Daphnia pulex: one gene and its partner. The protein of the gene in region 2 binds, or shares a complex with, the protein of the main gene of each other region. Links are inferred from orthologs where the notes say so. Each region holds a gene or a part of one and is shown on either strand. Other genes may lie near its edges.

Evidence for each region.
Region 1: vacuolar protein sorting-associated protein 51 homolog (region 2) and vacuolar protein sorting-associated protein 52 homolog share a complex: the UniProt entries of both Homo sapiens proteins name them as parts of the endosome-associated retrograde protein (EARP) complex. The link is inferred for Daphnia pulex from reciprocal best matches to the Homo sapiens genes VPS51 and VPS52.

What each region holds. Positions count from the first base shown.
Region 1 is NC_060027.1:4,798,302-4,804,526, reverse strand, and holds vacuolar protein sorting-associated protein 52 homolog, read right to left. Parts: upstream 3,711-6,225; 5' UTR 3,695-3,710; coding exon 3,560-3,694; intron 3,508-3,559; coding exon 3,239-3,507; intron 3,171-3,238; coding exon 3,056-3,170; intron 2,971-3,055; coding exon 2,834-2,970; intron 2,770-2,833; coding exon 2,667-2,769; intron 2,577-2,666; coding exon 2,399-2,576; intron 2,329-2,398; coding exon 2,075-2,328; intron 2,004-2,074; coding exon 1,849-2,003; intron 1,786-1,848; coding exon 1,695-1,785; intron 1,637-1,694; coding exon 1,588-1,636; intron 1,522-1,587; coding exon 1,346-1,521; intron 1,272-1,345; coding exon 1,094-1,271; intron 1,006-1,093; coding exon 740-1,005; 3' UTR 692-739; downstream 1-691. Other genes in the region: uncharacterized protein LOC124207589, read right to left, coding at 1-1; DIS3-like exonuclease 2, read left to right, coding at 4,333-4,452, 4,522-4,575, 4,654-5,076, 5,142-5,399, 5,462-5,694, 5,763-5,933, 5,995-6,205. UniProt on the Homo sapiens protein: Acts as a component of the GARP complex that is involved in retrograde transport from early and late endosomes to the trans-Golgi network (TGN).
Region 2 is NC_060021.1:635,087-641,485, forward strand, and holds the start of vacuolar protein sorting-associated protein 51 homolog, read right to left. Parts: upstream 4,061-6,399; 5' UTR 3,864-4,060; intron 3,171-3,863; 5' UTR 3,108-3,170; coding exon 2,940-3,107; intron 2,867-2,939; coding exon 2,630-2,866; intron 2,566-2,629; coding exon 2,446-2,565; intron 2,383-2,445; coding exon 2,242-2,382; intron 2,141-2,241; coding exon 1,869-2,140; intron 1,797-1,868; coding exon 1,747-1,796; intron 1,680-1,746; coding exon 1,354-1,679; intron 1,290-1,353; coding exon 849-1,289; intron 776-848; coding exon 594-775; intron 511-593; coding exon 339-510; intron 280-338; coding exon 167-279; intron 95-166; coding exon 1-94. Other genes in the region: cap-specific mRNA (nucleoside-2'-O-)-methyltransferase 1-like, read left to right, coding at 4,509-4,542, 4,697-5,007, 5,072-5,227, 5,286-5,453, 5,522-5,689, 5,753-5,945, 6,037-6,152, 6,219-6,315 and 1 more. UniProt on the Homo sapiens protein: Acts as a component of the GARP complex that is involved in retrograde transport from early and late endosomes to the trans-Golgi network (TGN).

The DNA of each region.
Region 1 (6,225 bases), on a different chromosome or scaffold from region 2:
TTTTCAAACTGAAAATGTATTCGGTATTAGTAAAGAATAAACAATTTTTCTAAGAAAAAGAATCTAACCACTGAGTTGAGCCAACCGATTTGAAGTACCCTACGACGGAGAGTATCTCGTCTGAATGCGTACTAAATGTTTACATAAGACATGTTATCATCGTTATGACGTTATCATGCTGCATACGCTCCAAGTGGATTTGCAAGAACAAATTTTTCTTTAAAGTTAAAAGTATAACATAAGTTTGTATTCTATATAGCATAACTAAAGCACTGAATCAACACCCCATCTTTTAGTTATTTGCGGTTCCTCGGCTGATAATGAGAATTTATGTACTAAAACTAGTGACTTTAAAGAATTTAACTTAAACTCTACCGGTACCAGGAGTATAGGACCAAACTGCACGTCCCGTTTCTCCCACGGCATACAAAGCACGAATTTTATCTATACGTACGCCTGATAAGGATTGCTGTTCGGTTTTTGGTGACGTTTACTAACGTGCACTCTACTGGCATTTCAAGAGCACACTTTCTGTCTCATTAACTTTAAGAAAGTTCTACATTACTCAGAACCATTCAAGCTTTAATTCTAAAATCGATAACATTAAAATAACGAACGTTTTTTTTTAAATATTATGAATTCCCTTTAACCTAGTCAGCGATCAATATTCACGAGTCATTCCCATTTTAACTAATATTAATACATGTATTCAACAAATCAGGCTTCAAATCTTTAAAATTTAGAAAGCTGGCTTGTACCTTCTGACTTCTACCATTAATTGATGAATGTTAATCAAATCAGCACGAGCAGGAACGTTGCGGAATGGATGTTGGGTTAGGATTTTTTGGAAACGGTGGTAGTATTCGACGAGTTGAGTCAACGTCGCTTGTAGAATGTTGGTTCCGTTTTTGAAATTCGGAAACAGATTTAAGATTTCTTTATTAATCTCGTCCAAAGATTTCTTCCATCCAGCCATGAAAGCGTTTATGGTTTGCGTGGCCCGACCTTTAAGCCGATTAAAGAGAAACGGAACAATTCTATATATCGAGAGACAAAACTAATAATAAAATTAAAGACTTTAAAAAATGCATACGTTCTTCGTTCCGCAACGCTTCGTTAAGCCCTCGAGTAAGCATGACTTCGCAGTCTTTGACGAATCGGACGAGTCCCTCAAAATGGAAAAAAAGAATTTCTTCGACAAATTCTGAAATTCTAGCAGACAGCAATTCCTTACACCGAGCGGCTTCACGACTTTCTTCTCGGTTGCGCTCCTTAATAAATAGACAACAAGTTTTAATACATAAGCTGAGAAACTCGGTAAAATACTAAAATCTAGTTATATTACGGTCATCACACTCAGCATCAGGTCGTAGTTGTTGATTAGGGCTACTAATTGATCCTTTCGTTTAGTAAAGGCTGCAGCAAGGCGCAACGTGAAGCCTTCAACCTCCTCTTGCATGGTCGAAAGTAAATGGTGTAGGCGTGGAGTCCAGTCCATGGCTGAAGTTATACTGTTATGCTCTTTTTATACAAAATAAAGAAAATTACGACACAAGAATTAATGCAATAGGAAAAAAAGTGTTTAACCGTGAATCGCAGAAATGGCTGAAGTATACTCGGCGTATCGTCGCACTACCTATTAATGTTTTTTCGTTAGTTTAGAAATTTAATCAAAGTATGTTTAAGGTAAATACATAGTGTGGTCGCGTATCAATGTTTGAATAAAGTCTAGATGGATCGCAGTCACGGACACTCTGAATGTTTGCTTGTACCAAATATTCAAATCTAAGAAATATGGCAAATATTAAAGAAAAAAGTCAACAAATCATTTAAATTTAACAGTATTACCTAGGCCATAACGTGGAGACGAGAGATTCGTAATAAAAATCTAAAGCTGGAACGGCTCTCTTGTGGCAAAGATATTGCAAACGTTGGACCATTTGGATGCAAAGAAAAAGGGCAAGTGAGTCATAACAAGACGAAACATATTCTTCCACAAATTTCTAAAAAGAAAAAAAAAACAAATGACGCTAGAAAGGAATAATATGCTGCGCATTGTGTATAGTAAACTTACCATATAAATAGTGCAGGTCTTCCCCATTACTTCTTGAAATAGCTCCATGGCAGGGGCTCTTTCAACGTGGAAAAATTCACAGAGGAACAAATACTCGCGGCAAGCATTATCGGCCAATGCGTAGTGTTGAGATCGGAAAACGATTTCATACGAATATTTCGTTTCACCTTTATGGCCAGCGCTGGTACCAGTGGCAGCTGCGTGAGGAACTAGAACAGGGGCTTCTAAGTTTGTAACAACTTCAATTCGAGTTCCTATTATTTTAAAAAAAGAAGACAGCAAAAAATAAGCAAATATATTGCAAGAAAGAATTTTTGGGGTTACCTAAGGTAAAAACCGTAGATTTACTGCTAGAACTACGCCCACTAGGAGCGGCTCTTCCAAACAAGGACCTTGCGGCGGCAGCAGCAGCCGCACCTAACGATGCATCTTCGGAAGCAAGAACATCATCTTTATTAACACTATTTGAATCCACAAGTTTCAGTAATCGCGTGGAGTAGCTCTAGAACAAGAAACAATTGAGAATATAGACGAAAAAATCATAATTTATATCCAAACAAATTATTATTATTTCTTAAATCAAAACACGAACCTTAAAATAAGAGAAATATAGCTTTGACATTGTCTGCACATAGTCTTGCCTCACTTCATAAGCTATTTCAGGCTCTTGGGTTATGAGAAAGTGGTAAAAATTCCTAGTGAAACAAAACATAAATGTGAATTGTATTTGGAATCCAGAAAGAAAACCCAGAGGCTTACTTGTGTTTTAGAAGAGAATTCTGTGGTAGTTGATAATTAGCAAGTGGCCTTCTAAGTTGTTGTAGTTTCAAAAGCAGAAACTGCCTAAGTCTTTCAACCACCTTAATCCTTAATGCACCTAGGACAGGAACCACATCCTTAAAATGCATAAAATATTAGGTAGAAAATATTAGACATTTTTTTTAAATCACAAACTCAAACTATATGGTTAGGCCTACTCACTTGAGCAGCTCTACTGCACCTCTGATGGTGATCACCACTCAAAGCCAACTTTGCTTGAAGTATTATCAACTGTTCAGAGAACGAAGGCTCTGTCACTGGAGTTTCAAGTAGATGTCTATTCAAGAATGTTAAATTTTTAAAAATTACAACACATAGACAAATAGATGTACTTTGTAATTTTACCTTATCAGGGCTTCAGGAATTACCAAATCATCAATTATTTGTCCTGCCAAGGATCTAGCTGCCTGTCGATTAGACAAACGTAATCCCAACTGAGCTGATTGGTGCTGGAGTTGTAAAATATCACTGCTTAAACCACCTAGTTGAGATCTGAAGGTACTTAGAAGCACTTCCATTCTTTCAAGAGCGACATCACATTGGGTGAACTGTGAATGAAGCTGTGCTAATGATGTTCCCTGATTGACATAATCTTGCACAGACACTAGTTCAACCTGGAAAGAGGAAGTTGGTTAGCTGAACTCATAACATGTCAAAAATGTATACCTCTTGTAATTGTTGTTCTACTTGTTGTGAATACTGTCTCAAATCTACACCCGAATTCAGAGCTTCTTTTATTATGCTGTCCTTGAGACTAACTTTTAAATCCATTTTTATCTGAGAGTCGCAATGATCTTCCATGGCTGTTAAATGTTTTTAATCAGCTTTAACGGCTTTAACCGAAATCTGACACAAACTTGTTATTGCGGCTTGTCTGGAATCGTGACGAAATCTCTCAGCTGTTTGCAGACGACCAATATCGTCTGCTTGTTGTCAAAGAGATTGTGCAAGAGTAAGATGCAAAAATTGTGAATATCTCCCAGAGATTAGGGTTTCCATTAAAGTTATCTTTCTCATTTGAAAATATTAGCGTCAGCCGAATATCCCTGAATTTCGAAACTTTTATTTTTTTTACTCAAATTTGAAGCAACGATTGAAGTCTAGATAGTACGGCTATTTTTTGCACGACAAGAGTGAGAATCTTTGCTCATTGCATGCTTCCAAGAAAGTAAAACATTTTGTGGAAGAGTTTTCGTCAACTGTTAATCAGGTTGTAATCTGACGAGTGTTGAGATTTATTATGACTTTCAAACCTCTGACAAAGGTTTTAACTCAATATTTTTAGCACTGGTCAGTAACCAGTTTATAAGGGTTCCAACAGAGGGAAAGCAATAACTGACATTTGTATACTGATCTGCCAATTTGCATTTATTCCTACATTTTCTTAATTACATTGATGATAAGTTCTATACATAATCTGCCCATACAAGAAATTAATCATGGCAAAGTCAATTGGTAAAAACTCCACACCACAGAGACCCAATCGTAGTAAAACTTTTGAAAATTATTGGGACCAAAAGGATGTTGAAGAAGGATTACGGAATGAGTCCCTTTTTGAAGTAGGTTTTGGTTATATTCAGAATTAATTGATGTAATGTTTTAACTGTCTGTGTTTGTTGTATTTATAGGGTGTTTTAAGAATCAATCCTAAAAACTATAAAGAGGCATACATTTCTGCACCTGTAAGTATTGCTTGCAAATTTGTTTTCACAAGTTTTGATATTCAAAAGAACTAACTGAACAAATCTCAATGGTATTAGGATGGAACCGAAGATTTTCTGATTGAAGGAATTTTGCACAGAAACAGAGCACTTAATGGAGATATTGTTGTTTGTGAGATGCTGCCAACACAAACTGCAAACAAAGAATGTGAAAAAAGTTTTGCTGAGAGTCCGAGTTCACCAAACATTCAGCAAAACGAACAGCCTATTACTCCAAAAAATTTGGCTGCAGCCAGTGAACTCAAAGAAAATATTTCAAAAGTGACTGAAAAGGAAGTTCAGTGTGTGGATGCAGATTTAGCCGCTTCACGTGAAGTTAGGGGCGCGAAAACCCTGGGACCAAAAAATAGGAAAAAGCCGAAGAAATTGATGGAAAATGTTTCAAATTTAAATCTTGGTGCAGAATTGCAAGACAAAAGCGGTCTAAAAACCCCTTCAACAATGGCCGAAAATGTAACTAACGTAAATACTTTATTTTTTTTTATGTACTTGAAGATAATAACTTAGAAACTCATTGCTTTCTTTAGTTGGATAATCCTGCGGAAGAGCAGAGAAAAAGAACTCGCAGGCCAAGAAAGAAGAAAAATGTCATTGTTGAAAATCTCACCGCACAATTAAGCGCATCATGTACAATTGAGGATTCTTTAACGAAGACTACCACCGTTCAAGTAGAAACTTTAAGCGTAGTTTTACAGAATAAATCACACATAAATACGGCTGGAACAATTGATGAAAATAGTCAACAGAACCCAAATATTGTCAATACCCCAAGAAAAATTGCCAAGGTAATTTCGTCATTTTCATGAAGTGTTTTAAAATGTTTTAAATTATTGCTTCTAATTGACAGGTTGTATTCATCAAAGAGCTAAAGCACTCAAGGTGTGCTATTGGCAGTTTGAGACAATGGCCTTACGGTCAATCCGGACCATTACCGAGTTGGATTTTGTTCGCACCCAAAGACCACCGTATCCCTCGTTTGAAAATTCCGTTTGCGCCAGAACTCGCTAGTTGCTTATTACAACCCAATATGCTCTATTTAGCTCGTATAGATTCGTGGGAAGATGTCAATCATCCATTAGGGTAATTAAGGATTTTATTACTTCATATTTTTAAGCGTTGTGATTTATAGTTTCATTTTCTTTCTCTAGATCGCTCTGTTATTTTATTGGTAAATCGGGTGATATCGAAGCAGAGACAATAGCTCTTCTACTCGAACACGAGGTTGACTATGGTGATTTTCCCCAAGAAGTCTTCGATGACCTGCCTTCACTCCCATGGAGTATCCCAACAGAAGAAATTAAAAAGCGTCGAGACTTCAGGTTAGTTAACACATTTCATCCTCATTTTCAATTTGCTATAATTTTTTTTTCCCCTTAATAGACAGCAGTGTATTTTCACCATTGATCCAGCGGATGCTCGTGATCTTGATGACGCAGTCTCTGGTCGTTTTCTCAAAATGGCTGATGATGGGATTACACGATTGTATCGGGTCTCCGTTCATATTGCCGATGTAAGCTTCTTTGTTCAAGACAACACTGTTCTTGACGGAATTGCATCTCGGCGAGCCACCAGCACCTATCTAGTCGACAGGGTATGAGTTAATGCATTTAA
Region 2 (6,399 bases):
GATGAGCTCCACAACGCCCGGCTCCATCAATACAGGTTCCAAGCAGCGTTGGACTGCACTCGACAAAATTTCGTCCAGCAAACTGTGAACCAAACTGGAAAACAAAAATAATTAATAAATCATCTTTAGGATTAATTATCACTGACAAATTTAAGCGCTGGAATACTTCTCATCGAAGGTGAATCGCCACAAGAAAAGTTGCAAGTAGTAGCAATCTACTTGAATTTGCTGAATGCCATACTTTCCAAATGTCTTTAGACGAACACATTCCAAGAATCCCTAAATAGGCCCAGACGAAATGTTAATAAGCATAATACAGAAAAATTAATTTTTCAAACCTTAAGGCAGATTTTAATAATGGCCATGACGACAGATCCTTTATTGGGCTCAACGGTTCCCGACAAATCAATTCGTTCAGAAAATAATTTCTGTATATTATTCAGTAATGAAGAGTCCAGCTGAGAAGGACCCAATGATGACCAAGATGATTTTTGTTGCATTCTGGAGCTACTGTTAAGTGTAATTAATACAGAAAAAAAAAGAAAAATAATCCTAAAACTTTGTAAATCGTATTCATTTGAAATAATTCAAACCTGTGATGTGTTCGGCGGGAAGAATCTGAGCTCCTTTCTTTTCTTGATCCTTCTTCGTACAGTTGAGCTGCATGGGAATCTACTCGACTTATCTCTTCCAACACACGCTTGATGACAGGTCTAACGCCACGAGGTTCACTAGCGGTTAACCAATCGCGAGAATCCATCGACTTACGAATCATCTTCCAAGCAAAAATAAAGCGGTGAACGCTATTGCATAACTATCCCATAACCAACATTAGCAAACACACTCACCTGAACGAGAACGTGACTTTCACTTTGAACATAACTTTGCAAAAGCGACTGTGAAGTTTGTTTGAAGTCGAGAGTTATAACAGATATCGGAGTCAGATGGTCTCCTTGAAAACCGACTGGAATGTCAAACTGTTCCTCTATTAAAGACAACTGCAAATCACACAAATTTACGTTAAAATTCTGAAGAGATATTTTGTTTGAATTCAATTCAATTACCAAGGATTGAGCCAAATTTTGACTAAAATCGATTGCCACCCGAGAGAGGACAAGAATTAGAGTCGGAGACGCGCTATCTTTCCCCGTTACGTTGCTCAGATTTGCTAACATAGTGGAAAGTTTACTCAACGACTGTACTAATACTTCTTCCCGTACGTAACGTCGACCAAATGTCTGACGGAATTGAGAATCTTGAGAAAAAGTAACGTGATTTCCTACAAAGGCCTAAATAAAAAATAAATGTTGAATTTTAACGGGTATAAAATGACACAGAACCTTACGATAATACCGTTAGAGCAACAAAAGCACGATGAATGTGTTCCACGAGAGCCCCTTCAATAAATTTGACCGAACCGTGTGGCTGATTATCGTTATTCCAGGAATCACGCCAGCCTTGTAGTTCACTTGTCCATTTGATAACAAGAGCGTCGGCTGTTCGATGTGAAATTATTCGAGCAATTTCAGTAATGAGAGTGAAGCTCCATTGCTTATCCACCAGTAATAGTCGCTGAACGGCCAATAGACGACGATGAAATTTATCCAAAGCCGCAACTACTGACAAACAGCAGGCTTCACTTATCTCGAATCCGATGATTTCGACAATTTTACTTTCCACTACAGGGACGAAAAGGAAATTTTATGACATGAGCTAATTTCTAGGGTGAAATATATAGCTCCTTACCTATTGGGCAAAGTTGATTAATAACATCCGTGGCCATGCTATTCATCCCCCTGTTAATTCAACGTATTATGATGAAAACGCAAAAAATTTAAACCATAAAATCAATAAAAAGTAAAACATACTCATTATGTTTCGATATGGTTGAAGGGAAAATGTTGTTGAAGGTTGCAATGGTAAGAGCAACGTTATTCAATGCTGTATTGCAGCATTTTTCAATGAATATGAGGACCACTTCTCCATTATTTTCACCAGACCACACATATGAGGATAGATCTTCCAAATCTTTTTCTAACCTCACTTTATTGATTTCAAGAAATTCTCTTGCAAGGTCAGTGGAAGATTCACCTAGTTTGCATAAAAGAGATGCAGATTCTTCTAGTTCCTGGGAAGTTACCTATGAATTCCATGAACATGTCATGTAAAATTCCACAATAGACATTTTGGTTAGTTTCTTATTATCTTACTTTCCAACATAATATTTTTTTTACAGCTTACCTCAGCTCTGCTGAATTGCACCTTTAGGCATTTCCTGAGTGTTTCAACAATTTCTTTGCAATCTGATTGGATTCCACTAAAAGAAGGATGATCTCCAAAATCTTGAAGAACTTGCTCAGATTTTGCATAATACTTAACAGCCTAAACAAGAAACATTATAGTTTAATACAGGAAATATAGACAGATAATGTCAATGAAACAAACCAATGAATAATTCTTTTCTTCTACACATGTTTTCAGCTTGTTGGGAAGATCAAACAAAAATTGCAAATTTTTTAGCAGTTCGTGAATGTTTGAAAGCTTTGTTATTTGTTGGCGCCGATCCTAAAAAGACAGGGTCATTATTATTAAAAATTTAATCAACTCTAAACTCAAATATTTCACCAACCTGTAAATTTGAAGATATATTGTTGGCAAATGTTGCAATATGAGACATGTCTTGAACTAACTTCTCCATTTCATCTTCCATAGTTTTGAAATCACTTTTCATTTGGCGGATGGTATCAGTGGCAAGGATAAATTTATTATAATTTTCATAAACCAAAGTTTGCATTTCTGAATCAAGTGATTGAATTTCACGAACAAGTTCCTGTTCTTTATCTATAAGTTGCTTTAAGCTGGTTTCCTATTGAAAAACATCCAAGCACATAAAAGTTTTATTTTATTATTTGGCAAAATAAGAAATAGAATATGATTACCTGAACCAGTTTGTCAACATAGGCATCAGCATTAAAGTGCTTTCCATCCACGTCAAAAAGGTTTTCTACATCCTTTTCTTCTGTTATCCCATAGTATTGAGAAAGAAGATTGTTTCTTTTTCTTTTATCGTTTTCATTTAGTTCTTTACTCATTTTGACGTTTTTCATTGGCACTGTTCACCAACTGATTAGTGATTACACATACCGCACATACATTTCTTTAGTTGTAACCACAGACTAAGAGGGTAAAGACCACGAACGGCTATAAACCCCTTGAAGCGATGCTCGTCCTATGCCGTATGGTGGCGCGTCGAGCACACAAAACGAAAGCCATTATTTTTCCTCTTTCCCTACTGATTAGAGTCTTCACACACCGTAAGTTTATAATTGAACCATTAACATATCAATAGTGATGTTTTGTGTAAATATAGCTTAGATATCTCCCATGTTGTGGGAATTTTTTTAAATTTCTATGTGATGTCTAGATACAATCCATAAATTCCTTTATTAAACCCCCTTTTTGCCCATTTTCAGGCCCAGGAAACAGCGTTTCAAGATTTTCTGAAATGGGCCTGAAAATCGTGAAACGCTGTTTCCTGGGCCTGAAAATGGGCAAAAAGGGGGTTTAATAAAGGAATTTATAGATTGTATCTAGACATCACATAGAAATTTAAAAAAATTCCCACAACATGGGAGATATCTAAGCTATATTTACACAAAACATCACTATTGATATGTTAATGGTTTAATTATAAACTTACGGTGTGTGAAGACTCTAATCAGTAGGGAAAGAGGAAAAATAATGGCTTTCGTTTTGTGTGCTCGACGCGCCACCATACGGCATAGGACGAGCATCGCTTCAAGCATCCCTCTTTAGCCCTATCCCTGATCGTAGTCTTTACCCTCTTAGTCTGTGGTTGTAACTGCAAATCGAATGGTTGGGGATTGGATAGCGTTAATGTAAGTTTTTGACGTTTCGCGAGCTGATGTCAGAATGTCTTAACGCTTCAAGTCTCAAACCGCCAACCCAAGGCATAAAAATAACAGGTAAGAAATTATGACAGGCCGGCTTGCTTTAGGTTTTGGATATGCAGTCTGCAGAGAGCTGCTGGCTGATTAGCTCATTACATTACACAATAATACCACCACACTAACAGCTGACCCCACCTTATCTGCTGCCCTCTATGTACTGATACTAAACTCAAAATATTTTCATATCAGCCAATAAAAATGAAAGACCCAGACTGTAGCAGACATCGCTACAGATATCAGATTATGCTAGCGTGAGCAAGAACGAGCGGTGTTTACTTTCTTCCGTTCGGTCATTCGATCGTTTTATTAAATCATTCGTCAGACATTTTTTTTTGTGTATTTTCAAGATGCTTGCATTTTGACTTCTATAGCCACATGTCAATGCGTACGTTTAATTCTGGTGAGTCATATATAAATCATGGAAATCAACTTTTGGAAGCTTTTGGCTTTTGAATTAACTTAAAAATTTGGAAACGTTATATTATTAGGAACGACGTCAGTCATCAAATAGTCTACACAACTACAAAACGCTAAACAATGGCTTCGCAAGGAAAAATAACATCACTGAGTGGTTAGTATGAGACGCTGTTTAAATTTTTTTATAGAAAAAAGTTGGTTTATCTTCAGCAATAATTAACCTAGCTTGAATAAATTGGTGGAACCCGTTTTGCAACTAATGGGTTATATATATATAATATAAGTAATTTCCTGCAAAATTTCTACAGATTCCAGTTCAGATGATGATAGTTACAGACCTCCTTTGAAAAAACCAAACACACAGTATTATAATAATACAGGAGAAGTTAACTCAAGAAAGAAACTAAATGACATTGAAACATGTGAACGTAGCACTGTCATTGTTAGCCCATCCAAAAGTAATGCTGATGGAGGATATGGGTTTAATGCACCATCCAGTAGTCAAGATTCTGATTCTAGTGATGATGATCAGCCTATCATGCCTTCTGTACATAAAACACTCATCAAACCTAAATCTGCTGCTGCTCCAGTCATAAATCATAAAGCCACAGCAATGATGGTCAGTTTAATATTCTTACAGTGCATACTATGTGGCTGCTAATAGATTTCTGAACTACTTAAAGGCTAAAATGGGTTGGGCTAAAGGAACTGGACTTGGTAAGAAATCCCAAGGTATGACACAGCCCATCGAAGTCTCTAAACAACGCGGAAGAAGAGGATTGGGTTTGCAGATAAAAGGATTGGAAGCTGAAGATGTTGAATGGGACTCAAGTAGAGAGGTTGTTAATGTCTACATTTATCTTGATTATTTCATTCATTCATTCTGTTGTCTTCTAGACTGTTGTAGTGGAAGAAGAGATTTCATGGCTTCATCTAGATTCCACTCCTGCACCTACTTTGCCAGAGTTAAAAAATTGGGTAAAAGAGGGAACCAAAAAATTAACAATTGATGATGAGACAACATTTTGTAGCAGCGACATTTTAAAACAAGTTCTTCAGTGCAAAGTAACTTAATTTAGGATGATTAATGTCATTATTAAATATTTACATTCATGTTCTTTGCTCTTTTCAAGTCGATATTTGATGTGTTGGAAGAAGAAGAACTAAGGAAAGCACGCACCCGCTCTAATCCATTTGAAACTATTCGGGGAGCTTTTTTTCTTAACAGAGCGGCGATGAAGATGGCAAATATGGATGCTGTTTTTGATTTTATGTTTACTGATCCTAGAAACGAAGATGGGGTAAGTTTTGTACATTGGTAAAGCAGAATTTTACTTTGTGATTTTGAGTGAAATTCTTTACAGACCCCAGTTCTTGGTCCGAACGAATTACTTTATTTTGCTGACGTTTGCGCTGGCCCAGGAGGATTTTCTGAATACATACTGTGGCGAAAAAAATGGGAAGCCAAGGGTTTCGGCTTCACTCTAAAGAGCTCCAACGATTTCAAGTTGGAAGATTTCCATGCCGCCCCTTGCGAATGTTTTGAACCCCATTATGGTAAAGAAAAGTGTTATAATTTTAATTTAAAAAAAATCAGATCAATCAATTGAAATCAGTAGTCAGTTATAGTGAATCATTTTTATATTAGGTGTTGGTGGAGTTGAAGGAAACGGAGATGTGTATAATCCGGAAAACATCCGTGAATTCCAACGTTTTGTTATGGCTCAAACCGGAGAAGGCGTACATTTCATGATGGCCGACGGAGTAAGCTTTTCTATGTTCCCACCTAGTCTGTATGTGTAACTTATCTTTTTCTTTTCAACACTTTAGGGATTTTCTGTTGAAGGGCAAGAAAATCTTCAAGAAATTTTGTCAAAACGACTTTATCTTTGCCAATTCCTTGTTGCTTTGTCTATAGTTCGAACAGGTATTTTATTCCTACGTTTTCATGTGTGTAGTTTATTTATCGAAGAATTCTGTTCATAGGTGGCCACTTTGTGTGTAAGTTATT